3 linked regions of the Macaca mulatta genome follow. The protein of the gene in region 3 purifies or fractionates together with the protein of the main gene of each other region. This does not show direct contact. Links are inferred from orthologs where the notes say so. Each region holds a gene or a part of one and is shown on either strand. Other genes may lie near its edges.

Region 1 (3,650 bases), on a different chromosome or scaffold from region 3:
CTGGGTTCAAACAGTTCTTCTGCCTCAGCCTCCCAAAGTGTTGGGATTACAGGTGTGAGCCACTGCACCAGGCCTGAATTTCTTCCTAACAGCTAAATTCAATTGCAGCACTGGTTTTGTGAAAGAGAATTGAAGATTATCTTATTATTTTTGAGCATGAATGAACAAGCAATGCCTATCCATATGGATGACCATCACAAATCCAGTATTGAGTAACAAAAGCAAGTTGCAGGATAATATGTGAAATGAAACTATATGACTTTAAAAATTAGGCAGGCCGGGCGCGGTGGCTCACGCCTGTAATCCCAGCACTTTGGGAGGCCGAGGCGGGTGGATCACCAGGTCAGGAGATCGAGACCATCCTGGTGAACACGGTGAAACCCCATCTCTACTGAAAATACAAAAAACATTAGCCGGGCGTGGTGGCGGGCGCCTGTAGTCCCAGCTTCTAGGGAGGCTGAGGCAGGAGAATGGCGTGAAACTGGGAGGAGGCGGAGCTTGCAGTGAGTGGAGATTGTGCCACTGCATTCCAGCCTGGGCGACAGAGGGAGACTCCGTCTCAAAAAAAAAAAATTAGGCAAAGTATATTTTATAGGGATAAACATCTGTGTCCTTTGTAGTTAAAAGTATGGAGAAATGCATGAAAATGATGAACATCAAATACAGGATAAACACCAAATACAGATCACCTTTGGGAGGAAGGAGACTGCTGTTGGAAAGGGCTCATGGGAATCTTCAAATTATTTATAGTTCTTTGTATCTTAATCAGGGAAGTGTATCCATAAGTATATGTTACATATATTTTTTCTTGATCTTTTTTCCCTACATTTTTGTAGGTCTGAAATATTTCAAACATAAGTTTTGGCCATGAGGATTGTCTCTTTTTCTTCCCCCACCCCCTTTCCTCGTGTTTTTGCTTTTACTCCTTTTAAGCATGTTAGGTCGTCACTGTTCTTTAATTCTTTTTCAGTTGCTTGAAGTGTAAAGTCTTTGGATATTGTAAATGCTGGTGATTTGTCAACCTTAAATCTGGCTGTTTTCTCCCTCTAGGGCTTCTGGTACAGTTTTCACTGCTACTGACGTTGCATTGGGACAGGAGGTAGCTACTTTGTCATAATCCTGGATGTTACCATTATTTTGTCATATAGGTGGAAACTAGATAAAGCTGGGAAGAATCACTAGGACTCTCTTTTAAGTTGAACATGTTGTAAGGATTGCTCTACGTGTTTTTATAGCACTTCTGTCATTAAGGGGAACAAAGAAGGAATTTTGAGTTTAATGTCATAAATAAGCAAGTATTTAAAAATTGTTTTCTCAGCTCAAGTGAAAAGAGGATTAATTCTTAGTGTTGGACTGACTGTGGGTGTATTAACTTCAAGATAAATCTAAAACTGTTTAGGCTCTATACATTACAAAGCATTGTGCAGAGGCAATGTGCAAGTAAAAGTACCACCTATGAGTAATAGCATTGTATAATATAATATACATGCCGTAAAGTAAGTTATTAACTGCTTGGTGTTTGTAATTTTTTAAGAGAATTCGTAAACCTGATTTTTTTCAATCCTGTTTTCATTATAGGTTGCTATCAAACAGATTAATTTACAGAAACAGCCAAAGAAGGAATTGATCATTAATGAGATTCTGGTGATGAAAGAATTAAAAAATCCCAACATAGTTAACTTCTTGGACAGGTAAATATGATTATTTCTTAAACATTGGGATAAAAATGTAGAAATTTTAAGTCTCATGGTTTGGGGGCTGGCTAGCCACTTTAGAATAAACTGTCAATGCTGAGAAATAAGAGGAGAGGTAAAAATAGCACACTGCAGTTTTAGAAGGTCCTTCTCTACAAGGATATCACTTGGCAAGTGAGAGAAGGCAGTTAAATGAAGGCCATAGCTGGTGGTGTTTATATTCATTGCAAATGACCTGAAGTGAAAACATGAATGGTTGGCTGTGATTCATGTCGTGACTGACAGGGGACTGGTCATATGGTTTTTAAACTTGTAGATCAATTTTTATTTCAAATGCTATCCTTTATGGACAAATTGTATGTCTATCAAAACCTCATTTAGTTTAGGAATTAATGTTAAATAACAGACCAAAAAGCAGAATAGAAAATGATGCATATTGGCCAGGTGCAGTGGCTCACACCTGTAATCCCAGCTACTCAGGAGGCTGAGGCAGGAGAATCGCTTGAACCAGGGAGGTGGAGGTTGCAGTGAGCTGAGGTCGCACCACTGCACTCCAGCCTGGGCAACGCAGTGAGACTCCTTCTCAAAAAAAAAAAGAAAATGATGTATATTACTACAACTGCGCTTGAAAAAGCAGTCACATATACGAATGAGAGAAGATTAGTTGAAAATGACAACAGTGGTTTTATTGAAGATAGAGGTGATTATAGGTGATTTTCTTCCATATTTAAATTTGTTTAGAATAAGGAAATGATAATACATTTCGAGACTTTAGCCCTAGTTATGGAGAACATGTTCATAGAAATAAACTTTTCAGGCCAGGCACAGTGGCTCATGCCTGTACTCCCAGCACTTTGGGAGGCCAGGGCAGGTGGATCATGAGGTCAGGAGATCGAGACCATCCTGGCCAACATGGTGAAACCCCGTCTCTACTAAAAATACAAAAATTAGCTGGCCATGGTGCCACGCACCTGTAGTCCCAGTTACTCCGGAGGCTGAGGCAGGAGAATTGCTTGAACCCAAGAGGCGGAGGTTGCAGTGAGCCGAGATCGCGCCACTGCACTCCAGCCTGGCAACAGAGCAAGACTCCATCTCAAAAAAAAATAAAAAATAAACTTTTCAGGTACAGTTCCCTGCTTTTTGAAATAACATTTCAAGTCAGCATAGTAGGGTGGTTAAGATAAGCCATGGGCTTTGGAATCGTTGATGCTTGGCTTCAGATTCTGGTTCTGTCACTTACTATTAATAGCTATGTGACCTTGGATGAGTCACGAACCTCTCCAAGCCTTTGTCTCTTTATCTCTAAAACGGGACTAGTAATTTCTATATTGTAGGATTATTTTAATCAGAATGAATCTGTGTGCATACTCACACTACAGTTGTGGGCAAACTGTAACTTAAAAATGATTCAGGGTCATAACCTCAGTTATTTTTCTGTGCTGTTACATAGCAGCTTTCCAATTTTCTTCCTAACTCTCAAGCTACCAGCCCTCTAGTTTCATTGTTAGGGTGTTTAATATTTGAATTCTTCAACATAGGATACCATGTGTTTAGAAAAAATGTAAGTGTGAGTGTATTTGGTATGTGTATTTTTAGTTACCTGGTAGGAGATGAATTGTTTGTGGTCATGGAATACCTTGCTGGTGGATCGCTCACTGATGTGGTAACAGAAACCTGCATGGATGAAGCACAGATTGCTGCTGTATGCAGAGAGGTAGGTGTGCCTCCTCCTTGATACGTTATGGTGATATGTGGTTAGCAAGAAGTGAACAAAAGGAACTTTTTCTGCACAGTTAATTGTTATTGTGGGAAGTGCTTTCTCTGTACACATTCTCTACAAGTTACTCCATCCCCATACCATTTCATCCTACACAGGCATTTCAGCCCTTTCCTTCAGGTATAAGATAATTTGGGAATGAATTGTGGACCTTTGAAGATCCAGATTCACAAGGAAAT
Region 2 (4,237 bases), on a different chromosome or scaffold from region 3:
ATCTAATATATTCTTTTTTGTTATTTTTGTTGTCATTGTTGAGTTGTTTTTGAGACAGTCTCACTCTGTCGTCCAGGCTGGAGTGCGGTGACGTGATCTCTGCTCACTGCAACCTCCACCTCCCAGGCTCAAGCGATTCTCACGCCTCAGCCTCCTGAGTATCTGAGATTACAGGCATGCGCCACCACGCCCGGCCAATCTTTTTTTTTTTTTTTTTTTTTTGAGACAGAATGGAGTGCAATGGCATCATCTCAGCTCACTGCAACCTCCACCCCCTGGGTTCAAGCTCCTGCCTCCGCCTCCCAAGTAGCTGGGATTACAGGCACCTGCCACTGTGCCTGGCTAATTTTTGTATTTTTAGTAGAGACGGGGTTTCACCATCTCGGCCAGGCTGGTCTTGAACTTCTGACCTCGTGATCCACCCGCCTCGGCCTCAGAAAGTGCTGGGATTACAGGCGTTTGAGTCACCGTGCCCGGCCAATTTTTGTATTTTTAGTAGAGATGGGGTTTCACTATGTTGCCTAGGCTGGTCTCCAACTCCTGCCTCAAGTGATCCGCCTGCCTCAGCCTTCCAAAGTGTTGAGATTACAAGAGTGAGCCACCGCGCCTAGCCTGGAATCATATAATACACTCTTATTTTACTTTATCTACCTCAGTAAAATGCAAGCTTCATAAGGACTAGGAATTCAGTCTTTGCTCACTGCTGTTTCTCCAGTGGCTGGGACATTGTATAAAACATGGTAAGTACTCGATAAATATTTGTTGTTTTTTTTTTTTTTTTGAGGCGGAGTCTCGCTCTGTCGCCCAGGCTGGAGTGCAGTGGCCGGATCTCAGCTCACTGCAAGCTCCGCCTCCCGGATTTACGCCATTCTCCTGCCTCAGCCTCCTGAGTAGCTGGGACTACAGGCGCCCGCCACCTCGCCCGGCTAGTTTTTTGTATTTTTTAGTAGAGACGGGGTTTCACTGTGTTAGCCAGGATGGTCTCGATCTCCTGACCTCGTGATCCGCCCGTCTCGGCCTCCCAAAGTGCTGGGATTACAGGCTTGAGCCACCGCGCCCGGCCGATAAATATTTGTTGAATAAAGGAATGAATCAATGAACTTGACCATTGATTGCCTCAGGAAGGTTGTGGCTGCAGGGTTCTCATCACAAGATATTGCTGCTTCCCCTGGTATTAATCAGTTGGGACGAGGGGAATCTCTGCCAGAGAGGGAGATCCAAATTCAATATTTAAAGGTAGGACAGATGATGCTCCAGCAGTCTCCTGCCCTCACTCAAGATGGCGACAAGGCAGCGTGCCCTTTCCGGTCACATGACCTGACACTCGCAGAAGGGCGCCTCCCCGCGCTTGCGTGCTATGCCAAGGCTGCAAGGCACTGAGGGGAGAGGCGCCGCCGTCAGCGCCGCTGCCGCTGGGACCCGTTAGAGCGGAAGCGCCGCCGCCGCCGCCTTTGCTGTCCCCGGGCCTCTACTTCCCGGCAGGTGGGAGGCGGGAGCCATGTCGAAACGGCTCCGGAGCAGCGAGGTGTGCGCTGACTGCAGCGGGCCGGGTGAGTCGCACCGGCCGGGCCCGCTCCCCTCTGCTTTCCTGGCCCGGACCCCTACCCCGGGGCCGCCCACTCAGGTCAGGCGGCATCCTGCGGTCAAGCGTCCGCAACCCGCTACTAGGGTCTCAACGAAGAGGTCCCGGGGCGGCCTTGGGGCAGGACGTGTCCCAGGCCTGTCAGAGCCTGGCGGGCAGGGGGCCGCCGCCCTCCCAGTACCTCGCGGCCCTCCCTTTCCTCTCGTTCCCTCTAGTTCCCTCCCGTTCCCTCCGTCCCAGGCCAGCTGGGGAGGTGACGGGGGCCAGGGCTGCTCCCCCAACAGGAAGGGGCTTGGGCAATACACAGGAAAGCCAATTACAGAAGTAAAATGCGAGCGTCCTCCCGGCTGCAGCCTCCAGAGGCTGCAGGTGTCACCTCCCACTAGACCCTCTCTCCGCCTGGGTGCCCTGCCCGGGGAGGATGACACTCCCTGAGTCTCGCCAGAGGGTCCCCGTAGATGACTTCTCCGCTCCTGACATCCGACAGCTACTCTGTCGGGGAGAATTGCCAGTAGATCGGGGTCTTCCAGACACAACCAGCACTTAGGAGGCAGTGCGTGTCTCAAGTTTGAGGATCTGAATGGCCTGGGTTCAAACTAGATTTTGCTTCTGGGTGACCTTGGGCTGGTGACTTCACTTGGTCACTTGGCTTGATTTCCTCATTTTTTTCGATGAGGATAATCGGGAGTATCACGCTCAGTGGTGAGGAGGATTCAATGAATACTCGTAGGATCATATCATCTAAGGCTTTTCTTTTTTGCGTTATGCTGTCTACAATAGAACACTTGCAGTCCCTTAAAGCTAGAATTGACTATCTAAATCATACGTTGATTACAACTGAAACAAACGCAAAATCACCAGCAATATAGGGGCATTGAAACGCTAAACCATTCCTTCATAATGATGCATAACTGTTCATACATAATATTCACATTTAGAGATCAAGCGGATCTCAGCAATTGCAACTGAATTGTCAGGTCTCTGGATAGATTATTACATGCTGTTTTAGGTGCTTGGATGTATTGGCTTTGAGTTAATTCGAAGGTAACATGGCTTTCTTGGCACAATAGTGTCCGATAAACAATCTTAATCAAATCATTGAACACCACTGGCTTTGCAACTGTTCTGATCTTCAGCTTGTCATTTGGAAGTGAAGACTGATTGTAAATAGAACTGTGATAACTCAAACCTCATGTGGTGGTTTTAATGGCTGGTACAGTGCAGGTGTTACCAGTTTCCTTTGAAGATAGGGAGGGGGTGTGGAGGAGTTTAAAAAGAAGCGTTTTCTAAACCAAGTTAGTGTGAGTTATACAAACTCAAACTCCATCGTTTTCTCTAAAAATGTTATTTGTTCCACTTCCTTATTTTCTTGCCTGTTTTCAGTCGAACTTTCTGTGATGTGTTTGATTCACATGTGTCCAGCTTCTAACTTCCTCTTGGAATGCATATTGTTTTGCTTCTTGATGGGGTACGGGGCAAAGCAAAATTGTTCCTCCATTGCCATCCTAAATATACTTTTGCAGCATTTTGTGCATTTCAGAACATTTTCTCTTCCATTGTATCGCTTTAGTTGTTGTCTCATACGCCTGATCTGCAGAGACTTGAGTCACTTCCTTCCTGTTTTGAATATAAGTAGGCTACCTTGAAATATTCTGTGAAATTGAGCAGCCTGGAATTTGTGCTGCCTTTTCTGCAAAACCCTACTGAGAGAATTACCTGTAGGGTTAGGGACCCCTTTGAGATTCTGATGAATGCTAAGGCCTTCTCCCCTAAAATGCACGTGAACGAATTTACCTAAGATTTGTCTAGGGGAGTCACGGACATTTTTGAAGTTCATTTGTGGTGTCCCTGGAGCCCAGGCATAAAGCCTCCAGATGAACTTAAAGGGTTTTACCCAATCTCATTCATACAAACTTATTTTTATTTTACCACGTTATCATTCTAATATTCTTTCCATGGGATTCTGATCCAGGATGCTAAAGTGGTTAGTCGAATACTTGTCTTAATTAATATGTGTTAAATACTTGCTAAAAAAAGAATAGTGCAAATCCTCTGAATGATAAGTGAAAACCAAAGGTATGCTTCAAAACAGTCTTTTTTTTTTGGCCATTAGTGACAGTACTATACCGCAGGAAGCAGTGTTGTTATGCATCTTTGTAGAGCTCCTTCATCTGGACATTTCCAATCTCTGCTTTTTAGGATGATATAGTAATAGTGACAGTTATAATAAATTGAATTATTTTGATTCTATTTTATGCAAACATTTAACCATGATCACTTCTTAAATATTCTATTTTTTTGTGTGTTTGTTTGTTTTTTTAATGAATCTGGTTCGTTTCAAATACATCACACTCTGAGTTCAATTACTTGACAACTCCATGGAGATTTTCAATACAGTAGTATAGTGGTCACATGAAATGTTCAATGTTTTAAATATTTCCCATCAAAAACTTTTTCCAGTGATCGTGAATTTCACATCTAGAAAATATCTGTATTACTGAGAAAATAATTTAGAAAAGATATAACAGCTAACGTTACTACTTTACTATGTGTGAGGTACCTCACTGATTCTCTGTATCCTCACTATCCTGAGATATGTTATTATTCTCATTTGAGCCATGGTGAAAACACTCAAAGAAGTAGCTTGTCTGAGAT
Region 3 (3,650 bases):
ATGTTATTTTTGCAGAGGTAGAATAAAATTCAAAAAGAGGTGCCTGTTTAGTGACCCACTGAATGTATGTCAATGTGAATCATGAAACAAACTGCTCGATTTTCACTGTGTGGGTGGGTATGTCCCAAAAATCTGAGTTGATCTCTCACTTAAACCAAACCCGTAAGAAAACTGTGACTCCTGTAAGCATATGTCAGCTAGCATACTTTCACAGGAAAGTATAATGACCTGAAAGCACTGAGAGCGGCAGGTCCCTGTGACAGCAAGCCTTGGTACAAAGTTGCTGGCCAGATAAGCGCATACAGCTCCGTGCAGATGTGTGCATGGGACTCCTGGCAAGTCTTTCCGCATGCTATCCTTCAGTTCACGTGGGTTTCAGGCCAGACTGACTTCAGCTGGAACAAACTGGTCAACAAGTCCACACTCAGCTCTAAGCCTCTCTAACAGACCATAAGCCTCTCTCCTGTGTCAAGAATAAAAAGTAGCTCACAAATTATAAGATAGAGCTTCTATTAGACGTTTTTCATTGCCTGAGATGCCTTTAACATCTTCTGTTACGAGCTCCTAAGAGTGGGACAGAAACCCTGATGCATACATGTGGGCAGCAGTACCTCGCTTCCAGCACACTGGATCAGGACCTGGGACATGTAAGTGACGTTGCCCAGAGTTTTAATGTCATCGCCCTCCCAGTTCCGGATGGATTCCGTCAGGATCTGCAGCTCAAGTTCTTTTCTTTTCCGGACTTCTTGACATTGGGCCTGAGAGACACAGAACAACACTGTTAACAGACAGAAACTTCCAAAATCTTAAGTTCTGGCCACATTGCTTTGCATCGTCCTTAAGACAATTATTGCTTTATATCTTACTTCTTCAGACAGATAATCTGTTGAATGATTTACTTAATTATACGGAATTGAAAGTATTTGCTTGAAAGTATGAAATCAAGTCAAAAGAAGCAACGCACACAACTGCTCTGGAATACTAAGTATTATCTTAGAAAAATATAGCAGATTTTGCCACTTGTACAAAAAAGAAAGGTGGACAGAACAAAACTGTATTTTCATTCTGGTTTTGTTAGTGTTTGCCAATATAGAAGACTGAAGAGAAGAAACAAAGCATAACTTGTGCTATAAAATAAGGCATATATTTCGAAAATGCAGTTGGTAAGACAACACAACAGCAGAGAAAATGGAACCACCATTGTTCTGTTTTGCAATAAATCATTAAAGACAACACGAATGAAGGGTAAAAAAATGTTTGAAATAATTTTAAAGTAGATCTAACATCAATTACACTGCGATTTTAAAAATTTTAAGTAATTATTCTATCAGAGTCCGCTAAAAGGAGTTTACCAGCCATAGAATGCCGACTCTGTTTTTCTTTCATGTCAGCACAAGTCATTTTTTAATCATTTGACTTTTTCAGTTGATAATTCTTTTACATTCATTTGTCACAATGATGCCTGGGGGGAAAAAACAATATGCTTAATCACTTACTGAAAGGTTTTTGAAGGCAGCCATAGATTTTTGAATATCTTGTCTATCTGTATGATAATCCTTTGAGTAAAAGAAACATACAATTAGCTTTCGTAAGGAAAAGCTTTTCTTAAAAAGGTACTTTCTACAGACCAGCTTGAAACTTTTCTAATACTTTTCAACCCTTAATATTCCCTTTTTCCCTCAGCATTAAAGTGTCAGTCTTTCAGAAAATCATGAAGCCATCAGACTTGGGGGAAACATACGTTGAAAGAGAACAGTCACGAGCAGCAGGGGTGGGGAAGCCAACACTTGCTTCATCAATAAAGTCTTATTGGAACACTGCCGCGGCTCACATGCAGTATCTAGAACGGCAGAGCCGTGGAGCTGTGAAGAAGACCCTACAGTCTGCCCCCTTACAGAAAAGGTTTGCCAACTCAAGCCAAGAGAGTAACTTTAACCCAAATTTCTGCTAGGATGCAACCTGTTATTCAAAATTAAAAGAGCATAATCATTCATTAAATGATTAGTACAGTATTACCCTATAACTTATGCACACATTGTTTGTAGCTGATGATCCAGATAAGACATCTCAACATTATCTGAAAATCAGTTCTCATGTTTCAGCTTTTGGAAACTTTTCAACCAGCAGCAGTGGGTAAAAGAGAGATAAGTGGTAAATGTTTTTTAATAGAGCTGGAGTAAGGAGAAAAACATAATATTTAACAAAATCATTTTGACAATCCACTAAGTAAAAATTCTTTGTAAACTCTGTTGGTTCTGGCTTCTAAAATAAATCATGAATAATACTTTCTTTCACAGTTAAAGTCTGACCATGCCACTAACCCTTGGTAAGGACTCCGAGTAAGAGAGTGAAAGTGCGGTACCTCCATGTGTCTCTCGAGCTCTTTGAGCAGCGTAGGGTATTTATCCAGGCGCATGAAGGGTTTGCTCAGGCCCGTGGTCAGCACGAGAATTCCAGGGCTGCTGGCACCTTTGGTCTCCATGAACTCCCCCAACTCCTCACTGGGCAGCAAGTGGCAAGGGAGACACTTGTGGTTAGCAATGAGAGGCAATGGTGGCTCTCTGATCTCCACGAGCAACAGCCAGAATTTATGAAACATGAGTGTTGCTTTTAACATCTGGAAGGCTCCAGCTTTGATCCCAAATCTGCGCTGCTTATCTGGAAATGCCAAAGGGGATTCCCACCCCTGAGGGGTCCCATTCCTGCTCTCATATGAGCAAGAGTAACTACACACAGCACAGGATGTGTGGGTCTCCATGAGATCCTACTGACGCCGAGGCCCTCTGGCACATCAGTGCCATGCAGACATGTCCAATGGAAACGTGCACGCTCAGAGCCAGAATGGAGTCCAGTAATCTCAGTCTCAAGGTGGTAAGAACAAGGACTCAGCTGCTCCGGTAAAGAGCTAGAGCACGCCAATGGCCGTCATTCCCAGAGGTGAGTTCGTCCAGCAAGCAGGCCCCACCTAGGTGCTGCCAGCACTCAGCCTGGGAGTAAACAATGGCTCTCGGGGTGAGGAGTGGGAGAAGCAGCAAGAGAAGAGAGCAAACGTTGATTTACGCTTCAGAACTTCAAAAGCTTTGTTACGTTTAATCCTCACAACACATGAGGAAGGAAGGGGTCCCTGCGTGCAGACAGCGAATGCTGATTTATGCTTTAGAACTTCAAAAGCTTTGTTACATTCAATCCTCACAACACGTAAGGACGGAAGGGGTCCCTGCGTGCGGACAGCGAACGCTGATTTATGCTTCAGAACTTCAAAAGCTTTGTTACACTCAATCCTCACAACACGTAAGGACGGAAGGGTCCCTGCGTGTGGACAAAGAAACTGAGTGCATATCCCAAAATTAAGGAGTTAGAAAATTTTAGATCTTCCTGTGTTCCTCTTTCACCATTCCCTTCACGGTGCCTCGCCTGGCTTTCCCTACAGTGGGTCCTCACGTGCGTCACCTTTGTCCTCAGTTCCCACAGCTGTGGCAGAGGACACGGGCAGGATTCTGAGGGGTCCAGCTCTTCACCCACACGTCTGTTAAGGCTGACAGTCACCTGACCGCGACACCCCTTCACTGGCGATCTCTGAGGTCTCTGCCAGGCCCTGGGTCTGCTGTCCCTCACACTGCATGTGCCATCAGTCCACACATCTGACAGTG

What was found.
Region 1: the proteins of ARHGEF7 (region 3) and PAK2 purify together in Homo sapiens (co-immunoprecipitation; 5 studies listed by BioGRID and IntAct, with this or other methods). This does not show direct contact. The link is inferred for Macaca mulatta from reciprocal best matches to the Homo sapiens genes ARHGEF7 and PAK2.
Region 2: the proteins of ARHGEF7 (region 3) and GIT2 purify together in Homo sapiens (affinity purification with mass spectrometry; 6 studies listed by BioGRID and IntAct, counting the BioPlex papers as one, with this or other methods). This does not show direct contact. The link is inferred for Macaca mulatta from reciprocal best matches to the Homo sapiens genes ARHGEF7 and GIT2.

Annotation. Positions count from the first base shown.
Region 1 is NC_133407.1:2,356,619-2,360,268, forward strand, and holds part of PAK2 (serine/threonine-protein kinase PAK 2), read left to right. Parts: intron 1-1,050; coding exon 1,051-1,099; intron 1,100-1,578; coding exon 1,579-1,691; intron 1,692-3,290; coding exon 3,291-3,408; intron 3,409-3,650. UniProt on the Homo sapiens protein: Serine/threonine protein kinase that plays a role in a variety of different signaling pathways including cytoskeleton regulation, cell motility, cell cycle progression, apoptosis or proliferation.
Region 2 is NC_133416.1:117,161,215-117,165,451, reverse strand, and holds the start of GIT2 (ARF GTPase-activating protein GIT2), read left to right. Parts: upstream 1-1,357; 5' UTR 1,358-1,498; coding exon 1,499-1,550; intron 1,551-4,237. UniProt on the Homo sapiens protein: GTPase-activating protein for ADP ribosylation factor family members, including ARF1.
Region 3 is NC_133422.1:105,627,350-105,630,999, reverse strand, and holds part of ARHGEF7 (rho guanine nucleotide exchange factor 7), read right to left. Parts: intron 2,502-3,650; coding exon 2,363-2,501; intron 1,557-2,362; coding exon 1,497-1,556; intron 759-1,496; coding exon 612-758; intron 1-611. UniProt on the Homo sapiens protein: Acts as a RAC1 guanine nucleotide exchange factor (GEF) and can induce membrane ruffling. Functions in cell migration, attachment and cell spreading. Promotes targeting of RAC1 to focal adhesions. May function as a positive regulator of apoptosis.